3 linked regions of the Arabidopsis thaliana genome follow. The protein of the gene in region 3 interacts with the protein of the main gene of each other region in a pairwise test. Each region holds a gene or a part of one and is shown on either strand. Other genes may lie near its edges.

Region 1 (4,011 bases), 3.0 Mb from region 3:
ACAAAAACTAGGTTGACATACCGAACATGTCGGTGTTTTCTATAATTGATAGTACTTATGCTATCAAAAGCAAGATGTGCATATCTATAAAAAGAATCATTACAAAAAAAAAAAAAAAAATGAAGAATAAGCTTAAATCTTTAAATTAAGCAATCTTAACTTTGAATGTGAAATTACGATTATGAATTAACTAATTTCTTCGGAGGTATACGAATATTTGGAATAAAAACTTACTAGTAAAAATCTTATAGTACTAATAAATTATACAAGCATAACTCTAAGAGAAAAAAAAGGAAGAATGAATTCTTTGTTTTTATCTTACACTTATATACTTATGAAAACATCTATTTAGATTTGTGATGTCACTTACTGAAGTAGAAGTAAAAACTAACGAATGTTTTACGTAGACTTTTTTTATAAATATCTATTTAGATTTGCTTATAATATCCATATTTTTTCCAAAACACAGGTATACATAACATATCAACAATGAAAGATTCAAATAATAATTATTATTTTTTAAAAAGATGAAATAATGGATACTTATTACATATGTTTCTACACACATATATAGATCCGAAATAACAATAAATTTTGAAACAGATTAATGTTTTAACTCAACACTCAAGAAACAAGTAGTGTATATATATATAGCTGTCTTTCTGAAGATAATTATGCAAAACCATAACATGAAATTTTGTTGCAAAATAATATACTATAACATATATATTTATATAACATGAATAGGAAAAATGTTCTAAAGGATCTTGATGATCAAGTTTAAGATTAAATTAATGAACCAGCTCCTTGCTTCTTGTTCAAGTCATCATCACTCGTCTACTCCTCTAGGCTGCAGCCCAAACCCGGTAGCATCCGATCTTTTCATTATTCTCAACCTCTTGCATGACTCTAGAAACATCCTGCAAATCAAAATATCCAAACTCATTTACTTTAGTTTGTGATACATTTTCTTTTTGTAGTGAGATATCTTAAGTCAAAAGATAGAACATACCCCCAAGGTACATCACCGGCGAGCATCCAGTCTCCATCTTTGTCTTCGTATATGGTAACGTATTCGCAGTTGTCACCATCTTTCAAGGCCACACCTGCACAAATATGTATATATGTAAATTTAAAATTGTGTTGATAATATGGCGAATTCGGTATATAGAAAAGTCTAATTAACAATACAACTATACAAGTGGTGCATAAATTCTGATTTTTAGAAATTACGGATATGTAGTAACCGAAACCTCTAATTTTCTATGATAGATAATTTTCAGATAATTCAAAACAGTTTGGAGAAAAATAACCAGTTAAATTAGGACTAGTCTTAAGTCTCTAAGAACAAGTAAATAAATTTCCTGAGATGACTAATAAAAATCTCGACATATTTGTCCTTTCATAACACTTTAAATTAAAATCTATAACATTGCTACCACAATCAGTTCAACTGCTAACCAAAATTCTAACTATATTTGTATTAGTGTTGTCATTGTATCATAAATTGGGGTGTTGGTTTGGTTGTAGACATAAAAAGAAAGAACAGCACTAAACTATACTACTCCATTACGTCTACAAGACTACAACACTCTAAGTTCTTAATCGGACGTCTTGTAAACTATATATAATTAGTTGTTTTCCACATGATCTAATTACCACTCTACTTTTATGGGAAGAGAACATAATTGTTACTAACCGATGCCACGGAAACCGAAGAGCTTATCAAGAGCAAAGGCTAGATCATCATAGCCTTGGCTCGAACCAAGATCCATCTTCCTCAAATAAGGCACACCATCCATGCTCACTTTCACATACCCTAACCCCACTTTCGTGGTCGAAGCTTCCTTACAGCTGTTTTTCTTCCGGTAAGAACAAACCGGTGGCCACCCCACCACCTGGCTTTTCGCCGCCGGCGAATCATTAACCTTCTCAGCGTCACCACCAGATGAAACGACGCCGCTTTCACATTGATCACTATTACTACCCGACGACGTCATATTCATCTCCGTGAAAGCTCTCTTCTTCATCATCTTCTCTGCCACATCTCTCCCCGGAAGCCCCAATCTCAGCTCCGTTATCTCAAGCCCGAGTCCTTCCTTCTCCATTTCTTGAACTTCTTTTTTTCCTCTCACAATTTGATACAATTATGAAATGAGAACTTTCTTCTCCTACACTTCTCTTATTGTAGTAATGGCACCGCGTCGTGCTTTTTATATGTTGCTTCGTTGGTCCACACGATACAACCAATGAAAACCAATCCAATATCGACACGTGGAGTCATTTGATATCTAAAGTCTTCTTCTTCTTGTTATTCAGTTTGTGTGGGGAGACAAAGTGGGGGCAGAGACAGGTCAACTGAGGATGCGGTGGTCGGTCACATGAGAGACATAAGTTTGGTGCTGTTTTTATTTTTTTCTCAAAATTAATAAAGACCGGCATTACAAGGTGGTTAAGGGAACAGATCCTACGGTTGTGAAATTTTCTTCTGATTTTTCTCTGACCGTTGGATCATTGGAATCCGAATCTCCTTCTCCTAACATCCCATGTGTTTTTTTTTTGTAAAGATTCTTGTTCTAACTAGTATATCACAGAATCACAACTATAGTATACTTTTTCTTCAATAAGTTCATGTTATTTAGTTATTTTATAGTGAAAATAAATAAATAAAACTATAGTCTATTTGTTTGCATTTCTAATAAGAGGATGGGAATATTAAATCAAATCCTACCATTTTGGGATATGTTCGTTTATCTCTCTTTGCATCAGTTTTTTTGGATTGGCTTGTATATAACTAACAACATTTAGCTTAATAGTAAGATATTCCAGCAATGATTTTGATTGGTCACCGCTTTAATCTCACATGGAGAATATAAACCAGATATACAAAATTTGTATGGATCAGAATCAAATATAGTACCGAGTTTAGTTTTGGAATGTGACAAATAGTTACAAAGTAAAAACGTATATTCTAGTATGTTTTGGGTTCAGGTTTGAGTTTTAATCAAATCATATCCATAATTTATAAGAATATAACTACCTTCTCAAGTATTGGGTTGAATTTTACTTAGGGATTCAATTATATACATGCTCTAATCAAATTAGAATTTGGTTCGACTTTTAGATCAGTTTTTTTTTTTTTTTGTTTTTTGAATATCATATCATATGGATTGAATTTGTACTAATTTATAACTATTTAAATCTTCTTTGCAACATCCTGGTAAACCAAATTCCCAAAGAAATATATAGTCAATGGCAACACCTCTCAACTTAGACTAACAAGAGGATGTATTGTAATCTTAAGTTAGAGCTGTTTATGATACTCATCTCCAAAGTTAGTCTCGAACCAATGACTTCAAGCGGAGTATAACTAGTTTCGAATAGGTTCAAACTAAGCCAGACCCGCATTGTTGGGTAGTTGTTAACTATCTCTAGCTCAGCATACCAATAAAACACAAGAAGTATAATGATGGGGTTTAGAGGACGTAGGGACACGAGAATAGAAAAAAAGATCGACCGTGTGTATGTGTGTGAGTGTGTGTGGGTTCACTCTTGTCTACCAACTTTGATCAATGGATTGACAGAAACAAGTTGGGCCACGTGAAATTATATGAAATACAACCACATAAAGAGATTAAGTTCCATACTCCCATATCTCTAGTTTACCTTTAATGTTTCCAAAGGCTACCAAACGACATTTGTAGCACCAAATATTTATAAATTCCATTTTTACAAATTTTGAGTGGGAGCAGTGTTTGGTTTTCATCTCAAACGCACAACTGTCATCCTTTAAAAAAAACGTTTGTTTTATCAATAAACAAATATAATTTGATCAAAAATTTCATCCGAAGCCCCTTTTTCACCATGAAATTGGTCCATAGTTTATTTATGCACTAATGATACGATGAGCATAATATATGATGCTTGCAATTTGGAAAAACGCCGTTCAACTGGAAATTCAGGTAGTCTAAATAGAATTATTTCCTGACAGCAATAATATAAGGCTATTTT
Region 2 (4,773 bases), 2.7 Mb from region 3:
GACTTTAGTTAATATTGGTTTTTAATTTCTGTAATTTTTGGACCCTAAAACCTTAAAGAAAATTGAAAAAAAAATTGAGGACCCTGTGCTTTTGCTCCTCTAGCACTCCCCTAGAGCCGGCACTGGTGCGACATTTTGCAACAAATGAAACAACGGAATTTTCCAACTCATTATGTTGCGGCTATCGCTTTACATATGTTTCGAAAATGTTTCTTTTTTGGTTTGGTTAAAAGTTAAAACATATACCATTATTTAGCTACCAAAAAATGTTATTATCAAACTATTTGGCTGCATCAATTTCAATGGTTATATTGTTTAACCACAACACTCATCTGGTAATGAGAAGGACAACTTCGAATAAAATTTTTAAGATGAATACAAGTCGGCCAAGTGATGCTTGTGGTATGAATATATTTATCACGAAAACAATGTGCTAAATTAAACATATCTATAGTGATGTTTTAGTCGATCCACCAAGACACTGTCCAATAAGTTACAATGTGTATGTATGATTTAAAAAGTCAGGATAAAAAGCTGCTAAATTCTGCACCTAGAAGAACAAAAGAGATGATATAGCCACCAAAATTATCACGACATGGACTGATCTCATTCTGAAAAGTCTTTTTTGAGTTTTCAACTTCCAATCTTATCTTCTTATATACATGCATACTCAGGTTAAATAGTAAAAACAAGAAGAAAAAAAAAGACAACAACAAAAACAACAATAATGGCCTTTCATTCTCAGCTTTTTACATGATTAAAGGTATAGCCAAAGTTGGAAGGAACAAAAGTTAAAAGAGCTTTTACAGAGAATAAAAATTTCATCTTCTTTTTTCAAAAAGAGTTTTGCAGACATGCATGAGATAATTATTACAGTATGTTCTAATTATCTCCTTAATTAATTAAAATGCTTATAAACACAGATTGCTTATGTAATCTCATCGTCTAGTGTCTTGAAGACATGGGAATATCAGATCAGATCAAATGTTTCTCTGGACCAAAAAAAAAGTAAAAAACCAATGATTAACTCTTATATATAACAAAAACCAGATGTACATTTATAAAGCTTTGAGACTCTCTGTCTGAAATAAAAGTTTCTAAAAAGACTCTTCAGTGCATCATCTTCTCTTGCTTACTGCATCCAACTGCAAATATACAGAGGAACCCTTTTAATCATATAGCTCTAATAAATCATCTAAACATATAAGAACAGAAGCTTACATGTCAAGGCAGATGAAATCTCAGAGCTTTTAATCACACGCAGTCTCTTCACAGATGAAACAAACATTCTGTGTTTAAAAACAAAGATTAAAGATCAGTTAGTATGCAAAAAAAGAGGTATAAACAAATCTCCAAGCAAAATTCTATTCTTTAGGTAAAGAATTATCAATTTGAATTACTACTACTATTGATTAAAAGCTGAGAACTTTTGTTGTTATATGATCAAGAATCTAATTCTGCAAAACACTGAATCAGATTCAGAGAACAAAAGGGGAAAAGATTCTTACTGCCATGGAACATCCCCAACAAGCATCTTGTCCCCTTCATTGTCTTCATAGGTTAAAGTAAATTCTCCTTTCCCATCTAATAATCCAATGATAGGTTTCTCTTCTCCTTGACCATCAGAGATATCTCTTTGAGCTATAAACCAACAACATACACAAATCATACTCAGTAAACACAAGTAACACTCCTAAAGAACTAAAAAACAGAATTTGAGATTAAGATTTAACCTGCGAGTAGACCTCTGAAGAGTTTGTCAACGACAAAAGAGAGCTGTTCGTAGCTGTTGTAAGCATTGAGATCAACTTTACGACCAATAGGAACACCATCCATGTTGATCTTGACAAACATTCCTTCCTTCTTGGTTTCAACTTGTTTTTCACCATCATCACTCTTGTTGATTTGACCTCCATGAGAGGATTCGTTACCTAGCTTTGAAGAGCTTGTGCTCGCTAGATTCTTTCTGAACGAACGAACCGGAGGCCAACCCACCACTGGACCAGGAGCAGTTCTTTGAACCAGATATCAAAAGAAACAAGAGACATATGTCAATACCAAACGACAAAAACAGAGCAAAACAGAGTAAATGTTGAAACTTTTAACATGTGAAGGTAAAAAAAAAAACACAGATTGCAGAAGATGGGTCCCTAATGTTCAAGAGAATATCCTCTGTCAAAGCAGTAAGAAAAAATAACAGTGAAGGAAAAAAAAGGAGATTATACCTTTTCTGTGAGATGTGAGGAACAGAAGTGGTTTTGTTGGAAGGAGAGAAGTGATTGCCATTAAAACAGTGGAAAGATTTGTCTTCTGTTTCCTTCTTGATGTTTCTTATCTCTGTGTTCTTCTTCTTGATTGCTGAATGATCTTCTTCATCACCACCGGGTGGTCCAAGCCTTAGCTCAAGTTTCTTCTCCTGATCTGTGTTGTTCTTGTCTTCTTGGTACCATTTCCTTCCTTGTGGAATCAAATCAAGAAGTTTTGGACCGATTTCTCTGTTTCTTGGACAACCTTCCATTGATCAACCCAAGATTCCTTCTATACGTTAACTATGTATGAAATTGAAATCTATAGCTTCACTAAACCCTAAGAACCCCTTTTAAAGAAACAATCCCACAAAACTGAGAGCGAGAGAGAGAAAGAGAGATGTGTAATGAAGGTATGGTAAGAGAGCAGTGGTGGGATTTTATACAAAATCAAAGCTTTTTTTTTCTCTCTCTCGTGCACGCTTTGGTGGGTTCTCTCTCACACAGCCTTACCTTTTTTTCTTTCTCAATTTGTTGTTCTCTCTCTCTAAAGATTCTGAAAGGGACGAGAAGAGAAAAAATAGGAATACAAAGAAAAGGAAATTTGGATTTGTATGAACAAAAAAAAACTCAGAAAAAGGTAAAGCAAAGTAGAGTGACTCCACTTTTACTCCTAAACCCCAAAAGTAGAAATGAAAACTACAATAAATTTACAGATTGCATACCAAGAAAAACAGTAATTGTTCTTGACATGAAAAGAGAATACTGTGAAAAAAAAGAAGTGGGTTTTAACGTTTTTGGTTTTAGGAGTTCTTTTGTGGAGTAAAACACACGCAACCTTGTCTTTTTTTCTGCCTCAAATATCGCTAATTAAGGGTTTGTCTAGTAAAAGAAGCAAAGCGTGCTGTTCTGTTTCTCACAAGTATACGAATTAGAAAAATAATTAAATGCGTAATTCCAATAAACAACTTGACCATTAAAAAAATACTAATAAGAGTAATTAAAATATGATAACAATAAAGGAACTAAGGGAAGATCCCATAATTTATGGTCTGTTTTTAGGACCACTCTCTTATCCACTGTCCATAAGACACATATCCCTATGCTTTTCTAAAAACATTTTTCTATAGGTCGTCATGGTAATTTGATACTTTAATAGTAATACTACCATTCTACAAAGATATACATAAAGCAAATAATAAATGAACATCATGGGAAGATCAATTGAGAGAATTCAAGAAATGGGTGAGGCATTGTATAAACATACGAATCTGCATGGCGTCTCAGTGAGATATATGTAATTATTTATTTATAAATTTGCCACACAATATGTCAATTTGTTAGGTAGCTAAACAATTATTTTGTCAAAAGTTAAAAACAATGTGTACGTGTGGATTACGATGGTATAATTTAATTTGCTTCCCCAACCAAGTAAATAGTCAACTGTTTGTTTGTTTTTCCTAATCAAAAATTTTCTTTTCTCAAATCTACAAAATCAACATATTTTGATAAAAATAACAAAAGAAAAGACTTTAGCAGAAACAATTGTAGTTGGTCCTTTGATCTTAAAAAATGTACATAATTTTGCAGCGTAAATCAAGAACATATTTCAAGTTTTTCAACCAAAGATTGAAGCTATTTTATTTGGTTTTTCAGGAGGGGGAAAAGAATGTACATGTCTCTCCCACGTACGTGTGACACCGATATTACGATAAAGCCGACGTAGAAAAATCTCGAGTGAGAGTTCCGGTCAAGTAAGGAAGGGTAATTTAGGAAATTGAAGAAGGAGTGTGTCTCTAGTCATATCTTGTCGCCGTTTTACCCAACTCCGTGACTTTCTTCCCTCACTGTCAGACAAAACCTTAACCATGGTTAACATAACCTGAACCTCTCCGGTTTAACTTAACCGCACTAACTAGATCCGCACAGACAAACTAGACAGTGGACACATGTTGAAGTTGCACAAGATTTTGAGATCGTACGATAAGGTTTAAATTTGGGCTTTAATCAAAGCCGTAGAAGTGAATAGAGATATAGCAAATGTGACGGCTGTGATTAAAAGAGTACAAAGCAAAGCATCCGATTAAAAAAGTAGCCGACTCAGGAGAAAAGGAACAAAAAAACAACTCGTGAATTGAATGTCATATCAAGGGAAATAAAGAAAAGCAAGTGAGAATAGTGGTGGTGTCAATGATGCTCTTCCTAGAATTTTCACCAAGAAATAAAATTATTTTTATCCACTCACTAATTTTTTTAGTGAACTAAAAAAGGAGTATATGTAAGAAATTGATATCATTTTAACAAAATAAAAAGAGGAATAAAAGAAAAAATAATCCAAATATGGATAAGGTCTGAACTGATCCTCTAGTATAACTGGCCCATGAAAATCACGCTGAAAATGAGCCCAATTGTTGATCATCAATGTTCATGAACTTCATGCCTTTATGGAAAAATGGGTTGACTATTGAGTTTTGACTACTAATACTAGTAGTTTTGTGAATTTATCACATATATAATGCAAGTTTCT
Region 3 (4,143 bases):
TAAAGGGCACAATTTTTTCTTTTCTTTTCTTTTAAGCTACCTTAATTATGTTATGAATTAGATATTCAAAAATTACAATACAAAGCAGTGTCTAAATTTTTAAAAATAATTAGATTATTATTATCTCGATTTTGTTTTTGGTGGGCTATTATCTTAAAGGACAACATCTAGTTTAAGAGTAATCAATAGTTTTCCTTACCAAAAAAAACGTAATCAATAGTTTTATATGTTTTGTATAATTATAATTTAAATATTTTTTGTCATCAATATGGGGCTTAAATTTGGATGATGACGCATAGACGTCGTTAACACATAAACTACAAATGTTTAGAGATTTGAGATTTTAATTAAAAATGTTTATGATCATTAAGCTCCTTTTTCTCAAGTTATTTATTATAAAACTACGTAACTTTACCTTTTCCGCCATAGTTGAACTTTCAAAACCTCATTAGAAAATGATTATAACAGTGAATTAATCTAGTACTTATATTATTTTAATTGCTGTTGTTGTTATAGTGGCATCCAATGTTTGTTGGATAATTATTTCATCAACAAGGCAATATTAATATACGTAGACTCTTTGATTACTTGTCATTGATTATTAATTACTCGTACAAGCTAAACTACTCAATTTTGGAGAAACAAATGAATTCAATTTTTTGAAAACGCAGCCTCTAATTAATACACTAACTACATCACATCAAGAGTTAGAGTGTGTTTTTTTCTCGGTAAACAAAAGCTTTTGAATTTCTTAGCCTTAACTAATTTGCACCATTTCACTTTACTCCTCAAACATGTTAACTAGAGCCCGGCTAAGAGATCTTGTTCCCCGCCGGTTCTAGCCAATACATCGAACCAGAAGTCCATCTCACTGTCAAAAATCATCTCATTATTAGCGGAGCCCAAGTTTTGAAACTCTTGTTGTATCTCAACTAAACCAGCCACTTCTAGGTCATTCGATACGTAGTTGTGTTCATCTTGGCTATACAGTGTCTCTTTCCAGAAGCTTTCATCGATATCCGCACCAAAAGTTTCGAAAGAAACACATTCTTGATCGATAGTACTGATATCTCCCGGTTTGTTATCCATATTAATCTCGTTGCTATAGCCGTCGTGGCTTATGAGTGTCATCGAAGAAACCTCACTTGTCGAAGGCGATGTCGAAAATAAGCTTTCTCCAGAAGGGTTTGATGAATCTGCTAGCTCCGATTCGCTTCTAGTACTGTTCGAGCTCGTTATTACGGATTCAGATTTTGGTTTAGTACCCTTCTTTTTGTTGCTGGTCTTAGGTTTAGCTGGTTGATAATCTTCGAGTCTCTTCTTCAAGTGAGTGTGCCATACGTTCTTGATCTCGTTATCGGTTCTTCCAGGCAGTTTTGCTGCAATCGCTGACCATCTAAAGATGATACCAAAAGGAAAACGAAGAACATCAATACAAAAGTAATTAAAGAGCCGATCATTGTGTAGTTAAAAGAATAGTAGTGCGACCTAGACGTGTGTATAAAGTTACTTTCTTTTGGTGATTTATATATAGTAAGAAAACAAAATAAAACTTGTGTGTCGGTTATATACTTATATGTGAAGTAAAATACCTATTGCCAAGTATTTGGTGTAAGCTGATGATAGCATCTTCCTCTTCTTTGGTGAAATTGCCACGTTTAATATCAGGCTTTAAATAGTTCATCCACCTAAGTCTACAGCTTTTTCCACATCTCAAAAGACCTGTAAATAATAATTACCAATAATTAATGTAAGAAATTTGATCAAAATTAAGAAATTTGATATTATAATTTTTACATACCAGCTTGCTTAGGGAGGGCTCGCCAGTTACTATGTCCATGGTTGAGGATAAAAGAGACCAAGATTTGATCTTCTTCAGGTGTCCATGGTCCTCTCTTCAACCCCATCTTCTCACAGCATGGAGCTCTTCCCATCTCTTTGATTTGTGATTGCTGATAAAAGAAGTTGAAATGTTTTTCTTGTGGTGATGATCAAGATATAATGTGGAGATCAAATTCCTATGAGCTTGAGATCAAATGCTGTTGATGAACATGAGAATGACTGACTAAGGGGTTTGAGTATTTATACTAAAATTGTCAAAAGACATGTGGGAGAATTCAAAAGCATTGGTGAGCTTCTTGGAAAATAGGATGTGAGAGAGAGAGAGAGAGATGTCTTTTTGATTATTGGCAACATAGTCAAAAGTATGTTTTACATAATATTATATCTCATGTGGGAATGAATGATATATATGTTTTAGGGACCGGAGAAAATATTATTATAATAATCGGTCTGCATGTATATATAAATGTGTGTATACAGTGTGATGTTGAAATATGTGGTGTAGTGTGTGATATAGTTTCGAGTAAACAAAGTCGTCGGGTAGACGCACGAAGGGCATTAAAATGAGCCCACACGTATATTTCTTAGAAAATAAACGTTTTAGAGATTGTAAACGACAAACAAAAATCAACGTTGGGTGGATTATGTGTTGACCCAAAAAATCACTATTCATATATCTGCTCGAAAAATTGTTTTACTTTTCTTAGTATTAAACTTAGACATCTTTAGTCTCGGTAGTAATCGTGTTTAGGTTAACAACATCCGTACGTTTTGTATTCTTTCTATTTCTAATTAAGTGTAATTTAAAGATTTTTTATTTTTTTTACTATAAGTGTTGTTTTCACTTTTCTATGCAAAATTAAATGTGTTTAATAGTTTTTAACCAATTATATTTTATATCATATTTTTTTATTGGTTGGATTAATTGTAATTAATAATATTTTTATAAGAAAGAGATAAATTAAATGAGATTTGTATGTTTTCTTAATTTGTGTGCAAAAATTTTAAACTACAAATATTCAAAAATAGAGGGAATAATATTTACTGCATTTACGTTTATTATGACGCCATTTTCAGTCTTTATTTTTAGACTGCTGAATGCCTTAAAACAATTTATTGGTCATAATTAATTGTTAACGTATCGAATAGAAAAAAAACTAACTTTTTCATAAATTATATAAATGATTTTGAGATTCATATAAAATAAATATGTGCTACATAGTTCAGTCAAAAATAATTTACTTCCATTTTATCAAACAATTCGATTAATATGTGTATTTGATACAATACTATAACTACCAAATATGTAACATATTCTAAAGTTTTTTTTTGATAAATAAATTATTCTAAAATTTCCTCACCATTTTATTTTACTTCAAAATCTGGTTATTACAAATTTGCAACTACTGTTTGGGCTTTGAGAAAACAATCCTCTACGAAAAATTACCAGTTTTATACTAGTATATATGCTTTAATATTATTATTACACCAGCCACAAAATCCAAAAATAGAACACGAAAAAATCAATATCTGTCCGCGGGAAAGAGAACAGCTCGTGATAGTATTTGTTGACCAACGCGTTCACACGTATCGCACCCTTTTAAGTTTCAACCTAAAACTTTACCCTTCTTCTGTATTTTGTTAGTATTTGTTAAAATAGAACTCTATTGTTCAAAGTTTCTGGTCAACAAAAGACTGAAAAGAGGCTTACCTACAGGTTTTAGTTTTACCATATAAATTTACACTAACAATTAAACCATCATTATATTTTATTAGAAAACAATAAATAATGTTTAATGAAGAATGATAATGATTAAATGATCATTTATTAAAAAATCTTTTTTGCGTTACTAGTGTTAAATAATTAAAGTACTGTAACATGAAGCATACTGACATATAAAATTTATGTACCCAGTTTATTGGGTCAGAAAGACAAATTATCAATTGCATCATGTTTGGGTTTAGTTAAGGTTTTGCTAGCCTAATAAATATAATATTTATATGTATTTCGTTGTAAACATAATCCACAGCTTAATGTGAAAATCACTTTCATCTCTATCTTTTTGTTTCTTTCTCAGATTTGATATGGTATGAAACCAAAACATCAATTATTTAATTTTGTTTAGTTTATTCAAATTCATCTTTTTTGCCTGAGTTTAGTATTCAACTTTTTATTTCGATTTTTGATTTTGCGATTCTATAAATCCATAATTTTTCTAAATTATGCAATTTTATATATGCAGATATATTAGCATCACCTAGCTTAACCATCTTTAATTATGAAAAAGTTTTTAGTTTTCC

What was found. Proteins that work in one complex are often made in the same cells at the same time.
Region 1: the proteins of MYB15 (region 3) and IAA19 interact in binary tests that used the Arabidopsis thaliana proteins (3 or more experiments, as listed by UniProt).
Region 2: the proteins of MYB15 (region 3) and PAP1 interact in binary tests that used the Arabidopsis thaliana proteins (3 or more experiments, as listed by UniProt).

Annotation. Positions count from the first base shown.
Region 1 is NC_003074.8:5,262,197-5,266,207, reverse strand, and holds IAA19 (indole-3-acetic acid inducible 19), read right to left. Parts: upstream 2,208-4,011; 5' UTR 2,109-2,207; coding exon 1,700-2,108; intron 1,107-1,699; coding exon 1,013-1,106; intron 921-1,012; coding exon 830-920; 3' UTR 513-829; downstream 1-512. UniProt on the Arabidopsis thaliana protein: Aux/IAA proteins are short-lived transcriptional factors that function as repressors of early auxin response genes at low auxin concentrations.
Region 2 is NC_003074.8:5,611,691-5,616,463, forward strand, and holds PAP1 (phytochrome-associated protein 1), read right to left. Parts: upstream 3,114-4,773; 5' UTR 2,519-3,113; coding exon 2,226-2,518; intron 2,015-2,225; coding exon 1,734-2,014; intron 1,642-1,733; coding exon 1,509-1,641; intron 1,290-1,508; coding exon 1,222-1,289; coding exon of another isoform or gene 1,196-1,221; exon of another isoform or gene 1,146-1,195; coding exon 1,111-1,145; 3' UTR 513-1,110; downstream 1-512. UniProt on the Arabidopsis thaliana protein: Aux/IAA proteins are short-lived transcriptional factors that function as repressors of early auxin response genes at low auxin concentrations.
Region 3 is NC_003074.8:8,307,283-8,311,425, reverse strand, and holds MYB15 (myb domain protein 15), read right to left. Parts: upstream 2,218-4,143; 5' UTR 1,935-2,217; coding exon 1,802-1,934; exon of another isoform or gene 1,723-1,801; coding exon 1,593-1,722; intron 1,397-1,592; coding exon 802-1,396; 3' UTR 516-801; downstream 1-515. UniProt on the Arabidopsis thaliana protein: Transcription factor involved in cold-regulation of CBF genes and in the development of freezing tolerance. May be part of a complex network of transcription factors controlling the expression of CBF genes and other genes in response to cold stress.